4 linked regions of the Schizosaccharomyces pombe genome follow. Changing the gene in region 1 together with any one later gene gives a genetic interaction. Each region holds a gene or a part of one and is shown in the gene's direction. Other genes may lie near its edges. The genes, in order: nse6, srs2, rad13 and res2.

Region 1 (5,031 bases):
GAAGTTTATTGTTTGTTTATTATTTTTATAGCAATTTATATGATATGTAATGGAATAAATGGGAAAGTTGAATTTCATACTTGACAAGGTTTTTATATGTACTAAACAGTATTAATATCAATAACCACAGATACCCAGCTTCACTATATGCCAAAGTACTAATAGTTTGCACGTCAAATGGTACGTGGTCAAGAAAATTAAAAGAATTGCCAAAGCGTTCATTCAACTTTTTTGCGATGAACATTTAAATTCGTGGTTACTTCTTTGTCAATTTTATTCCATGCAGCAAATTATTGTAAATTCTTTAATAAATTAAAAGCGCCTTGTATAAAAAATCTATAAATGAATCACAAAGGATGAACTGCTACAAACATTGACGACCTATAATATTTTGGAGATAGTTGTGTTTGTCATTACGAATTATAACAATAGATGACTTTTGAACCTTCGATAAGATAAAAAATAAAAATAGTATTCATATTTACGTTTTATTGATCATTTTATAGGTCTCTAAAGAAATAGTGCCATATAAAGTAATTGAAATCATTTTTAATCATTAGCGGTCCAAAAACTGGATATCAAAGAAATAAAACGTGCTAGACAAATAAAATAAATTTTGAATAAAAAAAAGAAGATCCTCTTATAAATAATATAATGTTAATTCGAAAATTCATGAGACGAGTTTTTAACATCGAATCGACTATCAGCAAACTCTAAACCAAAGGCTATAACTGAGGAAGAAGAAATTCCTTCCCTTGAAGCAGCTCTTGAGATACTGTATAAAGAAAAACAAGCTGATCGACCGATTGAACAGATTGCATTCTTTGTGACCGAAGACTGGAAACTATATTTGCGATATTATCCACCTCAAATTTCGAAGTTGAAGTAGAGTCATCTGTTTGAGATAAAATCTCAAATAACGCCATGAAAGTTCCCGTTCTGCCACAACCCGCTGAACAATGGACTATAATGGGTGCTGTTTCAAAGTCCGGAGAATATGAGAGACTTTTTATATAGCGAGTCAGTGATAGTAGTGAGAAGGTATGTGGTGCACCAAAGTCAGGCCAACCGTTATAGTAAAAATGCAAAATTTTTTTCTTGACCCCGTCCTTGTTCAGCTCAAATTCACGAACTTGAACTTCATTTAATGATGTCAAAGTATAAACTTTTACCAAAATAACGCTTAAATCACCGATATTAAGTGTCTCAAACAGTTCCACTGGCCAATAGATATCACATTTCAGACGATGGCGTTCCCTCAATTTGGTAAGCATAACGATGATGCCTGATTTTGGCACAGATTGCCAGACCATCTTCCAAAAAACATCAATACTGTTCGACGTTGGACCCTATATAAATAAAGAAGACTAAGTTAGTAATTATGTTACAAAAAATGATGAAAAGAAAAAAGGCCAAAGCCGTTTACAATCCCGCAATTTCTTTTTATTCCTAACCTGAGTAGCGATAAATGTTTTCCCAGAAGGGATTTTTACTATGGAAGCATTAATGTAATCACATGCTTCTTTCCACATTGGATCTAAACGAACACGAGTATTTTCATAAGGGACTATGTTGGAGTATCGGTTTCTAGCCAGCGCTTTCTTACTTAGCTTTGGCAACCTAGTATTTAACAGCTCTATCTCTTCCTCATTGAGTCCCTCAATAATCATGTACGCTTTTTCTTTTATTGTGATCAAGGGTGTTAGAACACCATTTTCTGTAGATACTTCTTTAAAAGACATATTGATTTTTTGCGTTTATTCGCTTTTAAACTTCTCACCGAAGTATTTTTTTGTGTCTATCAAAAAGAAAGAATAATTTCTACTAAACGACTTTAAATGATTCCTAAAACCATGACAGAAGTCAGTAAAAAAGAGAAGTATAATTGTTTAATAAATCATCATTGTACGGCCCCCACATAGCGCTAGTTTCTAGTTGTAGTCGTAATCTAGTTCACGTTCACATTCACTTCGTAGGACTAGGCCCAGAGTATTTGCGAATGTCTATGTGGGGGTAACTCGAACCTTTACGAAGCCGGTAGTATGAAGAACAAGCTATATGTGGGATACTTTTATAGGTTGTAAACAACTGTATTGATGATAGTGAATAAAATGATTTAAACGCACTTATGTTCTCTCCAAGGACTTAATCGATCTGCTATACTTTTACTTTCAAAAACAAAAATATTTAAAGTGTAGAGAAAAGTTTTGACGTTTCTTATATAAGGCCAAGTATTATAATACTTGCTCAGCAATTGTTTCATTAAATGCCTGTTTGAATGTCGCCATTGTTCTTTAGGAGTTGTGTTTGACTCGTTTGACTCCCTTACTTGGCTTCTTTGGTTTTAATGTAATTTGTAAAGATTTCTTTGAATGAAAACGTGCCTAAATTGGTTTTAGGTGTTCTTTCTTCTAAGGTTTCCAATAACTTTAACTCAGAATTAGTAAAAATCATTAATTGTTAACAAAAGCTTATGACAGGTTTTTTCTATTCTTTTTTTTTGAATGTTCGCTTAAGAAAAGTCATATGTAAACATCAACGAAGCCAGCTTGGATATGTTTATGATTTCTCCGGTAATAGCAGTTGAAATGCTATAAACTAACAAATTATTCATTTAATAAGAAAATCAATAATTTACTCGATGTTTAATATTATTTGCTTGGAATGCTCAAATTGGATGAAATGAGACTATAAACAACAAAAAAACAATCGTCGTCAAACTATAATGCTATATAATTAAATTATAAACGTTTACTTTCCACTATTTACTATTTCATAATTTTTGTTATATATCCATCCACCCTTTTACCAAAGCACATCAAAAGTGTCTTTGCTGGTATAGTTCTATGAATGCGTCTAATAACATTTCAAAATTTCCTGATTTAGATAATTCTTCAAAATTAATTGACCACATACTTGATAGTGATGATTCTGAAGAGTTGGACGAGCTTCCTGATATCTCTTCTTTGGTGCCTTCGGCAAGAGCCCAATCGCGAAAACAGTATTTGAAAAATGATTCTTCTAATTCATCTACATACAGATGGAATATTGATCTTCTTTCTAGTACTGCTACAATTGACGATTCGGTTGCAAAAAGAAGAAAATTAGCAGTACAAAATTTATTGCAATATGACAGCACTCAAACCTTTCAAACGGGAGATGAAATTGATGAATTAATAGGAAAAAGTGTTGGATCAAATGTTTTGAATGTTCTACGTTCTAACCCTATTTATGATGACGACCTTAGGTACGAATATTGTAGCAATTCAAAAGCTCGTGTTCCAGACTGGAACACCCTGAAAGCAGAATGCTTGAAAGATAACGATTTGGAGTTTAATGAAGGAATTATACCAACAACTTTTGGTGATTTATTATCGGCAAAATTGGTCCCCTTAGATATTGCATTGTCAATATGCAGCTTGCAATTTTTCCGCTCTTTAGGAGACACAACATGCTCTGAATGGATTGCTAACCTAGAAAAGATTTTTTATAGCTATAAAAGCAGCTCTAATAATCTCAACCAAATTGTACGATTTATTTTTGAGACTACTGCAGATATGATTGGCATTGATTTAGCGAAACGACAGGTACCAATCCAGTTGGAACGTACGTCAGCCTCAGAAAATTTAAAAAGCAATTTGAAAATTAAGGTAATTAATTTCCTAAAATGCTGTGGAACTTTGTATCGGTTCTCCGACGACACTGTTCGCTTTGAAATGATTCAGGATGCATGTCGAATCTTAATTGACAATCAAGTGGGCTCATTTTGTAAATGGCAATTTTCTCAATTCATGGAACTTCCAATATCATTGAATCCAGATTTTTTGATCAGTAATATTCATAAGGTGTCTGAAAGTCCTAGAGTTTGGGTTACAATACTATCTTCTTTGTCTCGTTCCTGCCAAAAATTCAGAAAGAAGATTGCTTTTACATTATTTGTTGGGAAACAAAGTAAAAATGATGATTCAGACTTTTCTTCTTTATGTCAACGACTAGATGAAATTTCCGCTTCCTGTAATAATGACTATACAACTTTATTGTACCAGATTCGTACCTTCGGATATGCGGTGGATGAAAAGCATTTTAAAACTAATGAGCGCTTAGAGTGCTTACTGGAAAAATTACGAAAAATAGATTTAACAATATCTGGTTCAACAGACCATTTGCTACTATCGAGATGTGAAGTTAAAGATTGCATACATAGACTTTTTATGGTGCTTTACTATTTAAATACAAACTCAGCACCAGAATTGGAGAGGATTATTGAAAGTGACTTGCCCAATAATAATAAACAAAAGGACAGGTATTTCAAGGATAAAACTTCTAACTTATCGATGAAAGAAAACAAAAGCTTTTCAGCTAAAAAGGTGAAGAAGGGAAAAAAGAAAAATAAACGGCAAGCGTACAAAAGATAAACAATCAGTGTATTTATTAATATTAATTTCAGTGCTGGCGCAAATTCAACAAATTGTATAATACTTTCTAACTAAGAAATCCATAGTTTAATTTAAAAGAAAGTTACTTATTATAATTCCCTTGGAATTACAAATGGACAGAAAAGAAGAAAGAAGTTACCATCTTTTACGATAGTCAAAACTTAGCATCCATTGAAAGATATTGTATCCACTTGATTAATAGAAAGCAGCTATGGGAATAATTTATGATAAGAATCAGCAGAAATCATACACAATCCACATTTAAGAAAACAATGGAAGCCGAACTTGCGATCATTTAGCCTGAAGCATTAAATACTTGGATGAAGCAAAAATTTGAAACAAGTTATAGATAAATGCTTTAAATGAACTTGAGAAAGATTATAAGATAAAGCAAAAGAAATTAATGTCATGAAAGAAACAAATGACGATATCTCAAAATTTAATTATCGAACTTTCGGTTAGGATTTTCACCGAAGAGAAGACGTCTAATTTCAGGAAGGGCTTCTTCCTTCACAATCTCTAAGCGAGCACGCAAAGTGTTATCAACACGAATTTTACCACCCAAACCTACTAAAACGACACCTCCAAGCACAGA
Region 2 (6,519 bases), 1.5 Mb from region 1:
TAGTTTTAAGTATTAATAACTAGGTTGAAATTTTTCTAACTTAATTGATGAATATTAATTCTTTGTATACTATCTTGAGAATCAGTAATCTCAGGGCTGAGAAAATACTCTGCCGGTAGACACTATACGGTACTTCTTAAACGTTTAAATAAAAGTAATTTATACAACAAATGTCTACGGCCATACCTAGGCGAAAACACCAGTTCCCGTCCGATCACTGCAGTTAAGCGTCTGAGGGCCTCGTTAGTACTATGGTTGGAGACAACATGGGAATCCGGGGTGCTGTAGGCTTCCTTTTATTCATTTTTTTTTTGTTTGTTTTTGTGTTAATTTATTGTTAAACATGAAATTTTTGTATTGAAATTTTGTCTTGAACTCGTTGAGGCTGTATAATTTTCAAGCAAAGCTGGAAAGCATACTAGTTTAGAAGGTTATGCACATGCATGAATTGACTTTGATAATATAATAATGTTTTCGTTACTAATCGTGTAAAAGAAATTTGTTCAGAATATCAAAAACAGTAGTTTTATACATAGTAGAAAGATTTAAAAATTGATTAATTCTCAAGAGAGACCAATTGATACATACAGAAAACAAAAAAATTATATAAATGGAAAAGGGTATGTTTCGTAAATGTTGCAATTGAGAAATAAAGCGCATTTCATTTATCGTAATTTGCCTAGATCAGAAAAAGCATTGCAAAATTAGCCTCCTGAGTATGAATCTGATGATAATAACTAACAAACACAGGTTGCATAATACATGTTCCGATAATTTTCGGCTCTCAAATACTTAAATATATGATCGTTTCGCATCAGCCGTTTCAAGTCATGAAAAAAATAATAATAAAATATCAACAATACTATGCGGTTGCGGTTGCATAGCTAACGCTGCTATCGGTGACCAATTCAACATGGCTACTTTGAGCGTACGAAATAAACTTGAATCTTTCAGAGAAATTGGCGCATTCCATAGATTTCATAATGAGTTCTATAGGGTAACGGCCGCATATGGTGTTTTGAGTGGTTTTCAAATACTCTGAAAAGTCATCACTACTTTTCGTTTCAATAATTTTCATACCAATATGATCCAAATTAGATATAGACTCATAAATTTTGGGACTAGTGGGGCCACCTCGTCTTTTGTATTTTAAGACTGCATCCTCTAATTGATTCGTATCGTTCAAATAAAGGGTATATCCAAATCTTCTTCCCCAATGACAAAAATCGGAAGATATAACAAATGAATTTGATTCATCTTTAATATACTGACTCAGAAATTTCGCTGCTGCCATCATTGTGGTTGAAGTTAAGGCACCTATCATGATAGGAACAATTTTGACTTTTCCCAAGCATCCTTGTTTCAGCAAATGAAAAGCTAAAAGAGGGAATTGCATTTCGAGGCTATGTTCACTTTCATCCACATCCAAGGTCATTGAGTCGAAGCTGTTATCGCTAGCGACGAGTTTCTGACATACTATATAAATTTCCAGTTAGCAAATAATCTGTGCTGAGAAATAGACAGTAGCAATTTAGTAAAACTACTAAGCAAAACTGTTTTCACATACAGTCTTCATCCACTTTCAAATCACCTAAAGGTGTTGAGCAGATGCTAGCTCGACTGACTAGGCATTTTCTAGTAAAGATGTGATGAGAAGGCCCAAAAACAAAAACTCTCTGAATTTTCGAAAAGTCCAATTGCTGAAATCCTTGGGATGCGACTTTCCCACTATACATGTAACCAGCATGTCTGCTCAATATTTAGCTATATACTGAATATCACATAAATTATAAGTTGTCTATACGTACGGTGAAATGACAAACCGTTTCCCAGTCTCGGGCGTTGGGTTTTTGATAAATGATTTTAATTGCTTAGTTAGTAATTCTGTATCATCCAAATACCAAGATCCTGCATGAGTTGCTTCACGAATGGCTTGTGACATGAGATAAATTGAAGAATAATATTGATACGTTCAAATTGTAATTCGGTTTGTGATGTTCGTTTGACAATGGGTATTATTTTCTGAACAACACACTGTTACATATATCTTGCTTTCTTGCCTTCATCATTTGCGTTTTGCTGCACTAACACCACTTTTGGGAGGTCGAAACACAAGACTAAGACAATCGCAAAATCAGGTTTTCACACAATAAAATCATTACTTAAGAATACTGAATTGAAAGGCTTTCATTTGTTATACGTTCACGATTTACTCAAATTTCTTGTAGTAAAAACAGGTGGATTAAAATCTTTTTCGTATCCGTGTATCAGCCCTTTCGCGCTGGTAGGTCAATCGAGAATACTAAGAAATTGCAAGTGTTGTTTTCAACTAAATAAGGGTTGATCTTCTAAATTATTTCACCTATGCTATGCTTTCGTTAAAATAATAAGTATTTGTTAATTTTCTTAGTTTGACGTGTCATCGTTTCACAATTTAATATTTATTACCCGACAACTCATCGGAAAAGACCGTGTTTGGCCAAAAATCTTTGCATTGTTTTCCTATTTCTCACTTTTTTAAAATATACATTTGAAGCTGTCGGTTGAGTGTTTTGTTCTTCTCAATTATGGAAACGAAATCATCATACTTGAAGTTTCTGAATGAAGAACAAAGGATTAGTGTTCAGAGTCCTCATAAGTATACTCAAATTTTAGCCGGTCCTGGGTCTGGAAAAACCCGTGTTCTTACCGCTCGAGTAGCCTATTTACTTCAAAAGAACCATATTGCAGCCGAAGATTTAATTATAGCCACCTTTACGAACAAAGCCGCAAATGAAATAAAGCTCAGAATTGAAGCTATTTTGGGGAATAGTGAAGCCTCTAAGCTTATTTCTGGGACGTTTCATTCTATAGCGTACAAGTATTTGGTTAAATATGGCAAGCATATAGGGCTATCCTCAAATTGGTTGATTGCTGACAGAAATGATACGTATGTCTTGTTTACACTTTTCTAACTTTTACTTCTCCACTTTCAACCATTGCTGATCTATTTAGTCAAGCTATTATGAAGCGACTTTTAGACTCTCTCAAGAAAGCTAAAAATCCGATTGCTTCTGGTATTAGAGGACAAGAATTGACTCCTCAGAATGCTCTAAATCGCATAACTAAATTAAAGTCCAACGGTCTTCTTGTTAAACCTGGAATGGATCAGTTGAGTTTGATTAATGGTCTGGAAGAACCACCTAAAGAGCTTCAAAGCCATCAATCTGTTGAATTGTATAGACTTTATCAAACTTCCTTATGGAAGAACAATTTAGCGGTACGTAACAAGCATAAAGTTGTATGTATATATCTAACTATTTAGGATTTTGATGATTTGCTTTTAAACTTTATTTTATTACTTCAAAAGCAACCAGATTGTGTGAGGAATATAAAACATATTTTAATCGATGAATTTCAAGATACTAGCAAAATCCAATATTTTCTTGTTAAGCTTTTGGCATTGCAAAATTCAGATATCACGATTGTTGGCGATCCCGATCAATCAATCTATGGATTTCGAAGTGCTGAAATTAGGAACTTAAACCAAATGTCTGAAGACTTTGAAGGTACCCAAGTGCTTCATTTGGAAAGAAATTACCGTTCAGCTAAACCTATACTTGAATTAGCACTGTCTATCATTTCACAGGACAAAAGCAGGCCTAAGAAGGGGCTCAAAAGTAATCACATCTCTTCCTTAAAGCCTCATTACCGATTGTTTGAAACTAACAATAAAGAATCTTACTGGATCGCAAGGTTCGTATGGCTTCATTGCATGAAAGTTTACTAACGATTCTTTAGAGAAATTAAACGTATAGTAGGTTCTTGTCCAGAGCTTATATTTTATAACGATATCGCAATCCTTGTAAGGTCCTCCAGCCTTACAAGAAGTTTAGAACATGCACTTTCCGAACTTGGTGTGCCCTACCGCATGGTTGGAGTTAACAAGTTTTTTGATAGAGAAGAGATTCGAGACTTAATAGCTTACTTGAGAGTCCTAGCTAACAAAGATTCGACTTCTTTAATTCGTGTCATCAATGTCCCTCCTAGAAATATTGGCAAAACAAAAATCGACCGTATTATTTTCGAAAGTGAAAGAAGAGGATTGACCTTTTGGCAAACTTTAAATGAAGTAAAGAATGAAAATATTTTACTTTCTCAAAGAAATGACAAGAGTTTTCTAAAGTCTTTAAAGTCTTTTCTTTGTTCAATCTCCAAACTTGAAAATCGTTACTTGTCTAATGGGCACTCAGCAACTCTTAGTGATTTACTTTTGGGAATACTTTCTGAGATTAAATATTACGAATACCTGGTTCGGAAAAATAAAGAAACTGTCGAAGAAAAATGGGAAAATGTAATGGAGCTTGTACAACAAAGCGATAACATATCTTGTATATTCTATGAATTAGATTACAAAATATCAACAATTGTTCTATTGCAGAATTTTTTGACTCAAATCGCTCTTGTGAATGAAGAACAGAAAGAGGGCGAATCTCAGAAGGTTACCATTTCAACCCTTCACGCAGCTAAGGGTTTAGAGTGGCCTGTTGTATTTTTACCTTGTCTTTGTGAAAATATTATCCCTCATTCTCGTTCAGACGACCTCGACGAGGAAAGAAGGCTGCTATATGTCGGTGCCACACGTGCACAGGCGCTACTGTATCTATCTTCCTTTAAAAGCGTCACTGGAATGTTTGCAGATATGCAGAACTCAGACAATGTACAGGACGTCAGTCCATTTTTAAAAGGAGAAGAAATGAAAAGATGGGTGATGGAAAGTGAAATAGTTTTTAATGAAAAGATTGCTTCTGAAATTGGAACCATATTGGGTCGGAAATCTTATGGGAAAATAACTAATTTAAGCGGTATTGGTTCAAATGCAAATCATAACGGAACTAAATTCGAAAACTTGGGCTTCCAATGCTGTCGTGTTCTAGCTGAGGCAGAATTGAAAAAGAGAGAACGAGTCAAAAGTGTCAATGACTATAATAAAGATGAAACAAATTTTAGAAAACATAATGCCAAGAGATCGAAAACCGATATACGAAGTTGGTTTGAGAAAAAACAACCAATCGATTCAGATGTAGAGATTTCTGAGCCGTCAAGGTCCGCAAGCATAATGGTTGCAAATAAAGATTTAAATGATCGAAGTTTTGAAACTGTCAATCGTATTGTATCGACAAGAGCCTCAACGACAAACGCTTCTTTCATGAGCAGCGTCAGACAAAATCTTGGTAGAGGTCCTTCTACGAAAGATCAGGTAATAAATAGAACGTTGAGGGAAGGTCACCAAGATGTTGTGCAACATACTGACCTTAATCAATCAAATACTAAGGTCGCGAGTGCCCGTCCTGCTGGTTCGAGAAAACGATTGGGTGTAAGGCTACGAGTTTCACGAATGTTATAGTCATATCATGTTGTACAAAATCACGTATTATATTTATAGACAATCTAAACACCTTGCTACGGTGTTTTCTTTAAAATACCTACATATAATGTCAGCTTGAAAATAGATACAGATAATAAACTTACATTAGAGTACTACAGTTTCGACAAATATTTCGTTGGCAGCGATCACATGTAGAAAGATATAATACGTTATCACAAAATTCGCAAACACCGGTAGATGAAGGCAGATGGTCATTGTCAGTAACAAAATTAACCTTTTCATTTAAAACGATAGAAGAGGCATCATGGGCATTACTTTTTTTGCTTGCAAACAAACTAAGAAAAGATCTCACTTAGAAGCTTAGTAAAAAATCGCTAAATTCTTCACTTACTATCCAAATGATTTTTACACTTCTTTCTTGGTAACCTACTAGGAACATGTTCAGAACGACATCTTTTCATAGCTAAATCTCGGATACTTCGAGTTTCAAAAAAATGTGACACGTTGTTCTACCCTCTTAAAGCCTTATCGAGGTGTTGTTTTGTTTTTGTGGAACGCGGACTAGATGGCTAGTGCATGGTCTAATGGACTGTACAGGAATGGTCAAATAGGCGATACTTCTTGTCAAAATATAGCACTAAATGCATTTTTGAACCCTGTATATATTCGAAAAAAATACAAATCGTCCTTATTAATACATTTCGTAAGTCAAAATGAAATTGCTGAAATGAATGTGTTAAGGTAAAGCAAATATAGCTAGATTAAGGCTCATTTAAACTTAAATTGAGTAATATTTTCTTAATGTTTTTACATTTATCAGTAAGTGCTCCTTCGAAATGCCTTGTCCAGCTCATTGAAATTCATGGGTCATACCTTCAAAGGCTGAAGTATGAAATCAGGAAGGATTCACTGAAATAAAGAAGTCTTTCTGATGTCTGATTTGAGTATACGATAAACAAATGTGAATGTGCAGATATGAACAGTATAAACCATAGAAAGCCATGTCAAAGCCGAGGAGATACAGATGTTCTACATAGATTTGCAGACAATCCTCCTAGATATTCTATGAGAAAGGAGAGGAAACCTTGGTTTTGCAGCTTCTATATGGAAAGTACAGAGGGGTTGTCTTGCTTAACCAAAGTAAGAAAGAG
Region 3 (6,877 bases), on another chromosome or scaffold:
GAAGATGTTTGTGAATATTCTGGATTACCTAGTGTTAATTTACGTTACACGAAATTTTCTTGTATTACCCAGCTGTTCCTGAAGCATTCCTTTTTTTTTTTGAATTAGTAAATACGTAAACTAACAGAAAAACTAAATTACCTGTCCACAAAAGTAAGATTTAACTCCGTCATTTAGACATTTGGGACATTGCAGTCTGTCAGCTTCATTATTACAATCTATACCGCAACAAATATGTTTTGCAATTTCAGTAGCCATATAAATACTTTGTCTTAAGGGTATCACTCGCCTTAGTTTCTAGACTCGAGAATTTCTAGTCACACTAGTGCTTCGTAGCCGTGAAGTACATTAATGTCGTTGGAACCTATATAACCCAATGCCACTCTTTAAAGTTATGATTTTTGCAAAACTAAAAAAATAACTTTAATATATGCTTTTCAGTTTTTAAATAAATAATTCATTTTTCTAATTTTAATATGAATTTAAATCATTAACTTATGAAAAAATATGGAAGTTTCACAATACATTCTATGATTAGCATACTGAATGGCTCCTAGAATGTATAATTTTATCTTGTTCTCTTTCGTGTATACTGCGTATGCTGGTATTTGGATCTCGCTTTTTTCTTTGCAGTAGTTCAGGTCCAACGGTATAAACCGCTGAGGAAGCGCTAACGCGAAAATCGTTGGCCTTCGAAATATCTTGCTCGTCACGTGAAAAAGGTGGTCTTGAAGCCTCAATAGGGTTGTTTGAAGATGAACGGGTTGTTGGCAGATTTTCTGGAAGCCTCGATACGGCCATATACACTGTTAAAACGATTAGAACCGTGAGTTGAAGCATTAAAAGTCGCTTTTGAAAAGATGATTCTTGATATAGTGAAGTAATTTGACTCTGAAAGTATTCATTTTCTGCAGAAAGAAGCTCAAGTTTAGCTTGGAGAGCAAACAAAGACGGCTTAACGACACTTTTCGACAATTTCGAAATTTCTAATTGAAGGGTCGAGTTCAATTCATGTAATAGCTGCGTAAAATTCATGTTTTTGGCATTGTGCTTACCATAATTTGTTAATATTTTTTCTACAATTTCATCAAATGCCTTCTTCCGTTCTTCTAAGGTAGAAAGACGCTTATTTATGTTTTTGTAAATGCTTTCCTGATTAGAAGGAAAGGTAGATATTTGAGCGGTACTGTAAGAAGATGAAGAAGATGGAGAAATATCGTTAAAAGAGCGAGTTGATGTTGCAGGATATGATTCACTTTTTCCTGTTTCATTTCCTATAACAACAGTGCTCAAAGACTTAGATATCACAGTAGAAGAAAGTAAGGTGTCTGTACTATTCAACTCGACTGATGGATTCTTTCTCACTGGTTTGCTTTGAACATCGGTATCTTCTTCGTCCACAAAAATAGGACTTTCTTGAGGCTTCCGGATTTCATCTGCTTTAATAGCGCTTCCGTCGTTCACTTTTTGTTCTAAGAAGTCTTCATTTGCTTCTTCAAATTCTTCTATCATAGTTTTTCCATAAACCCTAAGTAGGCTTACAGGACAATAAAATTCTGACCCATAATGAGTTAAAAACTCTATTTTAAGATACTTCGCCCAAATAAGAGGGTTCTCAATATGAAAAGATTGAAGAGTCCTTAGGTTTAAGGCCGTAAATGTACCCAATTCCATCCAAGAAGACTCGTATTTTGGATATTTACCGCTTACACTGACCTTGAAATCACGAAATATACTTGAAAAAAATTCGAAGTTGGCAATTTGAACTGTATCGACATAAATATCCTCACAAAGTTCAATTACCACGAACTTGTTTTCAGCGGAACATTTGTTCAGCATATATTTGTCTTTGTTTTCGGTCAGAATCGAAGAAGATCCGACTGCTTCAGGATTTGTTTTAATGACAGCAGCAGCGCAGTCAGTTGAAGCAAAGTTGAATCTTTTTTCTTCTGAGAATGCAACAGTCTTTTCATCTATATTTGAATCAATTGTAGCTGCTGCTGAAGTAGAGGAACCATCCTCAGAAATTGGTAGAGTAACCGAAGAACTAGTAATAATATTAGTATCAATAACTTCCGTTACAGAATAGTTTTGCTCTAGCTTCTTTGAGGATGAAATTGTAGACGTCTCGTTCACCAATGGTGGGCTAATTGAATCTATAAATTCGCTAGTACTTGTTCCATTGGAATATTCATATTTTGACAAAAAATTAGAAGAAATGGTATCACTTCCATTCAAACTCGTTTTTGTGTGAAACGAAGGTTCCTGGTACTTATTTGTGGGAGTGAAATCCCATGTTGTAGGGTTGCTAGCTTCTTTTTCTTCAGATTTGGTAGCAATCACAGAAAGGTACGCATCACATACCAAATTTTCGTTATGCGTATCTGGTGACTTCAAACACAATGCCGGATATTTACACCAATGACTCGTTTGTGGAGAGCAGCAGCATAACCGAAATATAATAAAATAAATTAAAAAGGCATTTCCAAATGCAGACAATCTTCTTTTGACCATATGATTTAGGCAGCCCTATCAGTTTAATGTGGTAATTGGCTCAAGTCAAGTGCCACACACTAAAGTGTTAGCATCAATCATCGCACATGCCCTTGTTTTATCGCTTTGTTGGTAAAACATGTCTTTTATAACGATTTTAATTAAAAAAGAAGAAAAAGGGTAAAGAAAAAGGCTTGCTTTAATCACATTTCTTCGTATAATAATCAAAAATAAAGTCGTCTACAACGAAACTTCTTGACATCGCATATAATATTTTGCAATGGGGGTTTCAGGTCTTTGGGATATTTTAGAACCGGTAAAAAGGCCTGTCAAGCTAGAAACACTTGTTAACAAACGGTTGGCAATTGACGCTTCAATTTGGATTTATCAATTCTTAAAGGCCGTACGTGACAAAGAAGGAAACCAGCTGAAAAGCAGTCATGTTGTAGGATTTTTTAGAAGGATATGCAAACTATTATTTTTTGGGATTAAACCTGTATTTGTTTTTGATGGAGGAGCGCCGTCATTGAAACGCCAAACTATCCAAAAAAGACAAGCCAGAAGACTCGACAGGGAGGAAAATGCCACGGTCACGGCCAATAAACTTCTGGCTTTGCAAATGAGGCATCAGGCAATGCTTTTAGAGGAAAATAATAAAAAAGCTACTGCATTGGCAAATGCCTCGGTTCAAAATGAGAGACAAATGCCTTCATCTATGACATTGGATAATTCAGAAATTAAGCCAGTACTTAATCAAAGAAAAAATTATTTGAAGCCTGATCCATACCAACTACCTGAAATGGACGTTTCGTTTGATAAGTTAGGGTCGAGTTACGACCCTCGAATTATGTCCCAGGATGAGCTTACACAATATGTCTCTAGTTTTACTAAAATTGAAGATATAAATTTATTTGATTTTTCAAATATTGATTTTGACTCTGAATTATTTCAATCATTACCCGATACGGATAAATATAGTATTTTAAGTGCAGCAAGATTACGCTCTCGTTTACGAATGGGTTTAAGCTCTGAACAACTTTCCGAGATGTTTCCTAATAGAATGGATTTCTCTCGTTTTCAAATTGAGAGACTGAAGGAACGTAACGATTTAACTCAGAGATTAATGGACTTTACTGGAATGAATGAGTTTGGACCCTCTAGAGTAGTAAGTGAAAAAAACCGAGAATATATTTTAGTAAAAAACGAAGGTGCTGAAGGTGGATGGGCTCTCGGTGTTATCTCAGGATCTACAAACAATGAACCTATTATTATTGATGATGAGGCTACAAAACTTAGCAGCAATCTTATAGACGAAGACGAGGATGAGGCATTCTACGATGTGCCTTTACCTAGCCGATCTCATAGCATGAACCCTAGAGAATTGGTAGCCGCTAAATTAAAGGAAATAAAAGAAAATTCATTTTCGGAAAATCAGCAATCAGATGAAGCAGATTATAATGTTACTGATGATTTAATACTTCAATTAGCAACCCAGCAATCTCTAGAGGAAAACAAAAAATCAAAAGAGCTGTTTAGTCTTTCGGCTTCTGAGTTTGATAAGTTGAATAGCGAGAAAAAGACGTTTGAAATTTTGTCGACCGATATTCCTGCAGAGGATTCAATGAATTCACTTCTTAACGACGAGGAAAATTTGAAACTTGAACATGTTGGAGATGTTTCCAATGATTCATTAGCATTCGCGGAAAAAAAGCATCCTGAAAATGGGACTTCAATTTTTATGGATGCCCTTCCATCTGCGAGTAGAGAGAAAAAAACCAATGATTTAATTGATCCTTTACCTTTTCAGCCTATGGATTGGGGAAAGTCTATTTTTTTCGAGAAATTAAAGAAACCAACTGAAACATTTATGGATTCTAAAACTGATATACCAAGTGAGGCACCGGATAATTCTAAACTTGTGGAAGATACAAATTTACATACTATTAATGCAACAGTTAATATTGAATCCGATTTAGACGCTGCTAAACCTGGAATTGAAAATCCAATTATTTCACCTCTTCTTCCGGTAAAAGATGATGAAAAAGATTTAGACTTACGTGAACTCAATCCTTTGGAACCCTTTGAGAATATGAAAGAACAAGCTGATGATGGCACAGTTACCAACCCATTAAATGTTTCTAGTGATAAGGCCATGTCAGTGTATTTATTGAGCTCCGAAAATGCTAAGGATACTGGGGATATCAAATCCGAATCAATTGACGCTGTTCTTCCTACTTTAGAGACCAGCAGCCCTTCACTTAGCATTCCAACTGACTTTCAAAAAGAAGCCTCTCCAAATAAAGGAGCTGCTGCCTTGAGTTCGAAAGTAGAGCCTGAAGTGGTTGAAAAACTTTTAGATGAGGAAGAAGAGGAAATGATTATCAGGATGGCAGAAGAAGAAAAGGAATATGATCGGTTTGTTTCAGAACTCAATCAACGACATGAAACTGAAGAGTGGAATCAAGAGGCCTTTGAAAAAAGGTTGAAAGAGCTCAAAAATCAAAAAAGGTCTGAAAAACGTGATGCGGATGAGGTCACTCAAGTAATGATTAAAGAATGTCAAGAACTTCTGCGTTTATTTGGCTTACCATATATCGTTGCTCCTCAAGAAGCAGAAGCCCAGTGTTCTAAACTTTTGGAGCTAAAGCTGGTTGATGGGATTGTTACTGATGACTCAGACGTGTTTCTTTTTGGTGGAACTCGGGTATATCGAAATATGTTTAATCAGAACAAATTTGTCGAACTCTATTTAATGGATGATATGAAAAGAGAATTTAATGTGAATCAAATGGATTTAATTAAGTTGGCACATCTTTTGGGAAGTGATTATACTATGGGACTTTCTAGGGTAGGTCCAGTTCTTGCACTGGAGATTTTACATGAATTTCCTGGTGACACTGGACTTTTTGAATTTAAAAAATGGTTTCAACGTTTATCAACTGGACACGCATCAAAAAATGATGTTAATACGCCAGTAAAAAAGAGAATTAACAAGTTGGTTGGAAAAATTATTTTACCATCAGAATTTCCTAATCCGTTAGTTGATGAAGCTTATCTTCATCCGGCCGTGGATGATAGCAAGCAATCGTTTCAATGGGGCATACCCGACCTTGACGAGTTACGCCAGTTTTTGATGGCTACTGTGGGTTGGTCAAAACAACGAACTAATGAAGTTTTACTTCCGGTTATACAAGACATGCATAAAAAGCAATTCGTGGGTACACAGTCCAATTTGACTCAGTTTTTTGAAGGTGGTAATACTAATGTATATGCGCCGAGAGTTGCATACCATTTTAAGAGTAAACGGCTTGAAAATGCTCTTTCATCTTTTAAAAATCAGATTAGCAATCAAAGCCCAATGAGTGAAGAAATTCAGGCAGACGCAGATGCATTTGGTGAATCTAAAGGATCAGATGAACTACAAAGCCGTATTCTTAGAAGGAAGAAAATGATGGCAAGCAAAAATTCCTCTGATTCAGATTCAGACTCTGAAGATAACTTTTTAGCAAGTTTAACTCCGAAGACGAATTCTTCTTCAATTTCTATTGAGAATCTACCTAGAAAAACCAAGCTTAGTACTAGCTTACTAAAAAAACCCAGCAAAAGAAGAAGAAAATAAGTTTAATAAATTATTTATTTATTTGTTTACTTAACTGGTTGTTCCTATAAAAGAAGTTACTGTAATTTTTTGTTGAGTAAATTTTTTTGAGTTTTCCTGCTGTAACTGTGTTTAGACAAAGTAATTGAGCAACATAGCTTATATTTTGTGATTTATTCGTGTTTTGATTATTTACAATTTTTCTTGCTCTTTGTTACCTTACCTAATGTCACTTTCTACTACAACCTACTTAGCAGCAGTAAAGTAAAAACGGAGAAACAGAATATTTTTCGAAATGTTAAGTACAAAAATTGATGCGGAAAATGCGGAAAATGCCGCCGAGGTAAGCCTTGGTTATTATTTATTTAATAATACTTACAGATTTTAGATTGAAATGCAGGTACGTGGTTGTAGAAAGTATTTAGTTTTGGTAAAGCATGTACTGATTTAAAAAATTTTAGTTTGCAGTAAAAGCTGTTGAACAGGCTCGTAAGTTGAGCAAAATATGATGGAATAAAAAATAACAATTTAGAAATATACTGGAGTCTTTTGGAAATGCGCAAGGGAAGCGAGTTAAAGCTGACAAAGTAAGTATATATTTACATCTTTAATTTAAAGTTCAAATTGCTTACTATTGAATAGATACGATGATGAGATTTTTGAAGATTTAATAAACACCTTCCCCGAGTTTAAAGACCCTAAAACAGCTTCTTTTGTTAATGAGGATGAAATGAAGTCCGCCAAAGGAAAAGCTGCCTGGCGTCCATTTTTAATGCGCTATGAAAA
Region 4 (5,596 bases), 4.6 Mb from region 1:
ATGGTGCAATTTCGCGATCTTTTTTCTTACCGGACGATGTTATCAACACACATGTTCGTTTCCCGACCTTGACTGCTAATATTCGTCAAAGGCGCGGGAGAAAAGTGGCCATGAATGTTCCGATTTTCTTCGATAAAAATACAATTAAACCATTTCACGATCCTACCGTTCCTTGGGATAGAAATTTGTTTCCTGAAGATGCAAATGCACGAGATGGTGCAGCGTTAGACAATCATATTTACATGGACAGTATGGGTTTCGGTATGGGATGCTGTTGTCTACAAATTACATTCCAAGCTAAAAGTTGTGATGAAGCTAGACTTTTATACGATCAGTTGACTCCTATTACCCCCTTGATGCTGGCATTATCTGCCGGAACTCCAGCATTTCGAGGCTATTTGGCTGATCAAGATTGTAGATGGAATGTGATTGCTGGTGCTGTCGATGATCGAACCGAGGAAGAAATGAAAACTGTGCCAAAATCAAGGTATGATTCTGTTGACTTATATATCTCGAATGACAAGCGCAATTTACCGGAATATAATGACGTCCCGGTCGTTATAAATCAAGATTGCTACGATAAGCTAATAAAAGATTGCATTGATGAAAGATTGGCTAAGCACATGGCTCACATATTCTCTCGTGATCCTTTGGTTATTTTCAGTGACAGCATTTTACAAGACAACAGTGTATCCAATGCTCATTTTGAGAACCTAAACTCAACTAACTGGCAATCTATGCGCTTTAAACCTCCTCCACCAGGTAGTGATATTGGTTGGCGTGTAGAATTTAGATCAATGGAAATTCAAATAACTGATTTTGAAAATGCGGCATATTCAATTTTTGTTGTGATGCTTTCTCGTGCAATTCTATCCTTCAATTTGAATCTGTACATGCCGATATCGCTAGTGGATGAAAACATGAAAGCTGCTCATGCTCGTGATGCCATTCATCGTAAAAAGTTTTGGTTCCGTTGCAATCCATTTCCTGACGCAAGTACTGATGATGAATCTGGTCAGTTCCGTCAACTTACAATTGACGAGTTATTTAATGGTGAGCACCGTGAAAACGGATTCCCAGGTTTAATTACCATTGTTCGAAGCTATTTATACTCTTGTAATCCTGATGCCAAAACTATTTGCCTAATTGAACGTTATATTCGCCTAATTTCTCAAAGAGCAAATGGCCAATGCTTGACTGCTGCTTCGTGGATACGCAATTTCATTACAACTCATCCTTCTTATAAGCAAGACAGCGTGGTCAACGACGAAATTAATTATGATTTAATTAGAAGAATAGCAAAAATTGTAGATGGCGACTACGACGATACGTTACTTGGAAAATGCTCATAATGCAGATGAATTCTGAGTGGAATATATATAAGATTTTTTTCTACTTAATAACATATCTAAAATTTTGGTAATTTAAATTCCTTTGCAATTCAGTATTACAAGTGTAGTTCTTTGGCAACTGAGACTTCCCATTGATTCCTTTCATTAAGTGAATACTCATTATTTAATTAGTGCTAATATATATTCAGTAACTACATAGTTGATTTTCTGTATTGCCCCACCCTTCCCTATTGTTATGTGTATACGCAGGTAGGGTGAGCGAACGCAATGCATGCACCCTTTTAAGAGTCCGCGCTACGCATTTTAACTGCCTTTTGCTGTAATGGCTCCACGTTCTTCCGCAGTACATGTTGCCGTTTATTCTGGGGTTGAAGTCTATGAATGCTTTATTAAAGGTGTCTCTGTGATGCGCAGACGCCGCGATTCCTGGTTGAATGCTACACAAATCTTGAAAGTGGCTGACTTTGACAAACCACAAAGGACAAGGGTTTTAGAAAGACAAGTACAGATTGGTGCGCATGAAAAAGTACAAGGTGGATATGGAAAATATCAGGGTAAGTTGTCTACTGTTACGCGTTGTGACATGATTTGCTATCTTTGAACAACGCGAACAATTGAGTGTTTACTAAGCCAAATCGAGGTATTTTAATACCTTTTTGTATTAAATATCTCTATGGACGCGTCCTCTAAATGATTGACGGTATTAACCAAACTATAGGAACTTGGGTTCCATTTCAGCGTGGGGTCGACCTGGCCACAAAGTATAAGGTTGACGGAATAATGAGCCCAATATTGAGTCTTGACATTGATGAGGGAAAAGCAATTGCTCCAAAGAAGAAGCAGACCAAGCAGAAAAAGCCTTCTGTACGTGGCCGTAGAGGCCGTAAACCGTCGTCACTTTCTAGTAGCACTTTGCATTCCGTCAATGAAAAACAACCGAATTCTTCTATATCACCAACAATTGAGTCATCTATGAATAAAGTGAATTTGCCTGGTGCAGAGGAGCAAGTTTCTGCAACACCTCTGCCAGCGTCTCCTAATGCACTGCTATCACCAAATGATAACACTATAAAACCTGTTGAAGAGTTAGGCATGTTGGAGGCACCGCTTGACAAATATGAAGAGTCACTACTTGACTTCTTTCTTCACCCAGAAGAGGGACGCATTCCTTCCTTCCTGTATTCGCCGCCCCCGGATTTTCAAGTTAACAGTGTTATTGATGATGATGGCCACACTTCTCTTCATTGGGCATGCTCAATGGGACATATAGAGATGATTAAGTTATTACTGAGAGCCAATGCTGACATTGGCGTGTGTAACAGACTGAGTCAAACACCATTGATGAGGAGTGTTATCTTTACCAATAATTATGACTGCCAAACTTTTGGACAAGTGCTTGAGCTTCTCCAGTCTACTATTTATGCTGTTGACACCAATGGTCAGTCAATTTTTCATCATATTGTGCAATCAACCTCAACTCCTTCAAAAGTTGCAGCGGCCAAATACTATTTGGATTGCATATTAGAGAAACTAATATCGATTCAACCATTTGAAAATGTTGTGAGATTGGTAAATCTACAAGATTCAAATGGAGATACCTCTCTATTAATTGCTGCTCGAAATGGAGCCATGGATTGTGTAAACTCTTTATTAAGTTATAACGCCAATCCTTCTATTCCTAACCGACAAAGACGTACAGCTTCCGAGTATCTTTTGGAAGCTGACAAAAAGCCACATTCATTGTTACAGTCAAACTCAAATGCTTCGCATAGTGCTTTTTCATTTTCCGGAATAAGCCCTGCTATTATCTCGCCATCATGCTCATCGCATGCTTTTGTTAAGGCAATTCCTTCAATATCTTCGAAATTTTCTCAATTAGCAGAGGAGTATGAATCTCAGCTTCGAGAAAAAGAAGAAGATTTGATTAGAGCGAATCGTCTCAAGCAAGACACGCTTAATGAAATTTCCAGAACTTATCAGGAATTGACCTTTCTGCAGAAAAATAACCCCACTTATAGTCAATCTATGGAAAACTTGATTCGAGAGGCCCAAGAAACTTACCAGCAGCTTTCGAAGAGGTTACTAATATGGTTGGAAGCACGACAAATCTTTGATTTAGAGAGAAGCCTCAAGCCACATACTTCATTATCTATTAGTTTTCCTTCCGACTTTTTAAAAAAGGAAGACGGACTTTCGTTAAATAACGATTTTAAAAAGCCGGCTTGCAACAACGTGACCAATTCTGATGAATATGAGCAATTAATTAATAAGTTAACTTCTCTCCAAGCTTCCCGCAAAAAAGATACTTTGTATATTAGAAAATTGTATGAAGAACTAGGAATTGATGATACAGTTAATAGTTACCGTCGTCTTATTGCAATGAGTTGTGGCATCAACCCTGAAGATTTGAGTTTGGAAATACTCGATGCTGTGGAAGAAGCATTAACCCGAGAAAAATGAATCTTGGAAACTTTCATTTACATCTTGTCTTAATGTTACGTTCTTTATTTAATGATACGAGTTATGATAGTTAATGATTTTATCCATGACACTCACTGTCAAACTGCATTTATCAACGTTATCATACTTTGATAGAAAAACACGAGTTATTTTATATATTATTTTCGAATGGAATCAAGTGGAAAAAACATATATTGCTCCTTCCTAACAAAACTATTATGTTACTTATTTATGCGCAGCTAAAACAATCTACTATTGTAAAATGATTTATCTCATTTACAGCGCGTGCTTCCATTCATGATTCATCCTTTTTGCATTCGCACGTTAATGATCATCTAAAGGATACCAAGTTACTGAGCTTCACTTTAATTTGAGGGTCCTGTTCAAATAGGTAAAAGAGTGATTAATACAAATAATCAATTATTTAATTGAAAGAAAATCTATAGCAGTATTTCTCGTAAATACGATATAAAAATATGTAACCTATAAACGCAGAAATCGCGTTTTTTTGAATACATTTATTATGTTTACTTAGCATACATAAATTTAATAACGCTGTTGGAATACACAATTTGAATTAACGTACTGGTTTAACTAGAGGACGTTAGTGCAGCCTTTCCCCAGCAGCTACCATACTTACTTTAGTCGTGTATATGTATAATTGAAAATTTCAACAATCTTTTATTTTTGTTCCTTCGTTGAAATATCTACTAAAATATTTTAACTTTGATAATTAAGTATTGCATAAGGAAATGGATGCGTTGAAACTTTTGACAACTAATGTCAAATTTAAGAATAAAGTACCTCAACCTTCTATAAAAGAAAAAGAAGCAAAAAAATTACAAGGTATTACTAAGGGAAAAGCTAAAGTTACTGGTAATAATCCTGTTGATCCAATTGAAGAGTTTCCGGAAGGAATACTTTGTGAAAACTTAAAAAAACAAAACATAACAGAATGTACCACAATTCAAAGATATGCCATTCCAACGATAGGTTCTAAACGAGACCTATTGGCATGTGCACCAACTGGTTCTGGAAAAACTATTGCATATCTATTCCCAATTTTGCAAAAACTTCAGTTACATGTTCCGGGTGGATATAGAGCGATTATCGTAGCGCCGACTAGAGAACTGTGCGAGCAAATATATAGACAGGCAGAAAAGCTGTCTTTTGGAACTTCATTGAAGATAATTGAATTAAGTAAATCTAATGAAAAAATTCAAGAAAAAGCGCCCAAGCTCCGGGAAAAGTATGACATGTGCATAGGCACCCCGATGAGATTAGTACAAGCAATACAAACCGGATTGTCCTTTGAAAAAGTAGAATTCTTTGTTATGGATGAAGCTGATAGACTTTTTGAGCCTGGCTTTATTGAACAAACTGATCATATTCTAAGTGCATGCACCAGCTCTAATATTTGTAAAAGCCTTTTTTCCGCTACTATTCCATCACGCGTCGAAGAGTTAGCTAAAGTCGTAACGGTTGATCCGATTCGAATCATCGTTGGTTTGAAAGATGCAGCCACGGATAGCATCGATCAGAGACTCTTGTTTGTTGGTTCGGATACTTCCAAAATTGTGATTTTGCGTCAAATGATTTCAAATGGAGAGTTAAAGCCTCGAGTCGTAATATTTGTTCAAGATATAGAAAGAGCGAAAGCATTGTACACAGAACTCTTATTTGATGAAATTCACGTTGGTGTCATTCATGGAGAATTACCACAAGCCAAGCGCGAAGAAGCACTTGCGAAATTTCGGAAGGGTGAAATTTGGGTTTTAATAGCA

The links.
Region 2: mutations in nse6 (region 1) and srs2 impair growth when combined (synthetic growth defect), as found in Schizosaccharomyces pombe (2 studies listed by BioGRID, with this or other methods).
Region 3: mutations in nse6 (region 1) and rad13 impair growth when combined (synthetic growth defect), as found in Schizosaccharomyces pombe (2 studies listed by BioGRID).
Region 4: mutations in nse6 (region 1) and res2 impair growth when combined (synthetic growth defect), as found in Schizosaccharomyces pombe (2 studies listed by BioGRID, with this or other methods).

The regions. Positions count from the first base shown.
Region 1 is NC_003424.3:5,295,549-5,300,579, reverse strand, and holds nse6 (Smc5-6 complex non-SMC subunit Nse6), read left to right. Parts: upstream 1-2,799; 5' UTR 2,800-2,846; coding exon 2,847-4,415; 3' UTR 4,416-4,531; downstream 4,532-5,031. Other genes in the region: protein tyrosine phosphatase Pyp3, read right to left, coding at 726-1,349, 1,455-1,742; vma4 (V-type ATPase V1 subunit E), read right to left, coding at 4,876-5,031. UniProt on the Schizosaccharomyces pombe protein: Acts in a DNA repair pathway for removal of UV-induced DNA damage that is distinct from classical nucleotide excision repair and in repair of ionizing radiation damage.
Region 2 is NC_003424.3:3,830,208-3,836,726, forward strand, and holds srs2 (UvrD subfamily ATP-dependent DNA helicase), read left to right. Parts: upstream 1-2,071; 5' UTR 2,072-2,567; coding exon 2,568-2,929; intron 2,930-2,994; coding exon 2,995-3,259; intron 3,260-3,279; exon of another isoform or gene 3,280-3,304; coding exon 3,305-3,735; exon of another isoform or gene 3,736-3,780; coding exon 3,781-5,386; 3' UTR 5,387-5,419; coding exon of another isoform or gene 5,420-5,465; 3' UTR 5,466-5,511; downstream 5,512-6,519. Other genes in the region: SPOM_SPAC4H3.04C (uncharacterized protein), read right to left, coding at 863-1,476, 1,568-1,749, 1,809-1,942; SPOM_SPAC4H3.16 (uncharacterized protein), read right to left, coding at 5,420-5,465, 5,512-5,719, 5,760-5,829. UniProt on the Schizosaccharomyces pombe protein: ATP-dependent DNA helicase involved in DNA repair at least for UV-induced lesions. Also aids the recombinational repair of camptothecin-induced collapsed replication forks.
Region 3 is NC_003423.3:2,672,254-2,679,130, reverse strand, and holds rad13 (DNA repair nuclease Rad13), read left to right. Parts: upstream 1-2,561; 5' UTR 2,562-2,773; coding exon 2,774-6,112; 3' UTR 6,113-6,141; downstream 6,142-6,877. Other genes in the region: methionine aminopeptidase Fma1, read right to left, coding at 1-19, 69-89, 142-258; SPOM_SPBC3E7.09 (Sad1-UNC-like protein), read right to left, coding at 535-2,514; SPOM_SPBC3E7.07C (uncharacterized protein), read left to right, coding at 6,387-6,434, 6,480-6,491, 6,553-6,580, 6,624-6,678, 6,734-6,877. UniProt on the Schizosaccharomyces pombe protein: Single-stranded DNA endonuclease involved in excision repair of DNA damaged with UV light, bulky adducts, or cross-linking agents. Essential for the incision step of excision-repair.
Region 4 is NC_003424.3:684,919-690,514, forward strand, and holds res2 (MBF transcription factor complex subunit Res2), read left to right. Parts: upstream 1-1,616; 5' UTR 1,617-1,674; coding exon 1,675-1,906; exon of another isoform or gene 1,907-2,070; coding exon 2,071-3,812; 3' UTR 3,813-4,261; downstream 4,262-5,596. Other genes in the region: glutamate-cysteine ligase Gcs1, read left to right, coding at 1-1,352; ATP-dependent RNA helicase Rok1, read left to right, coding at 4,565-5,596.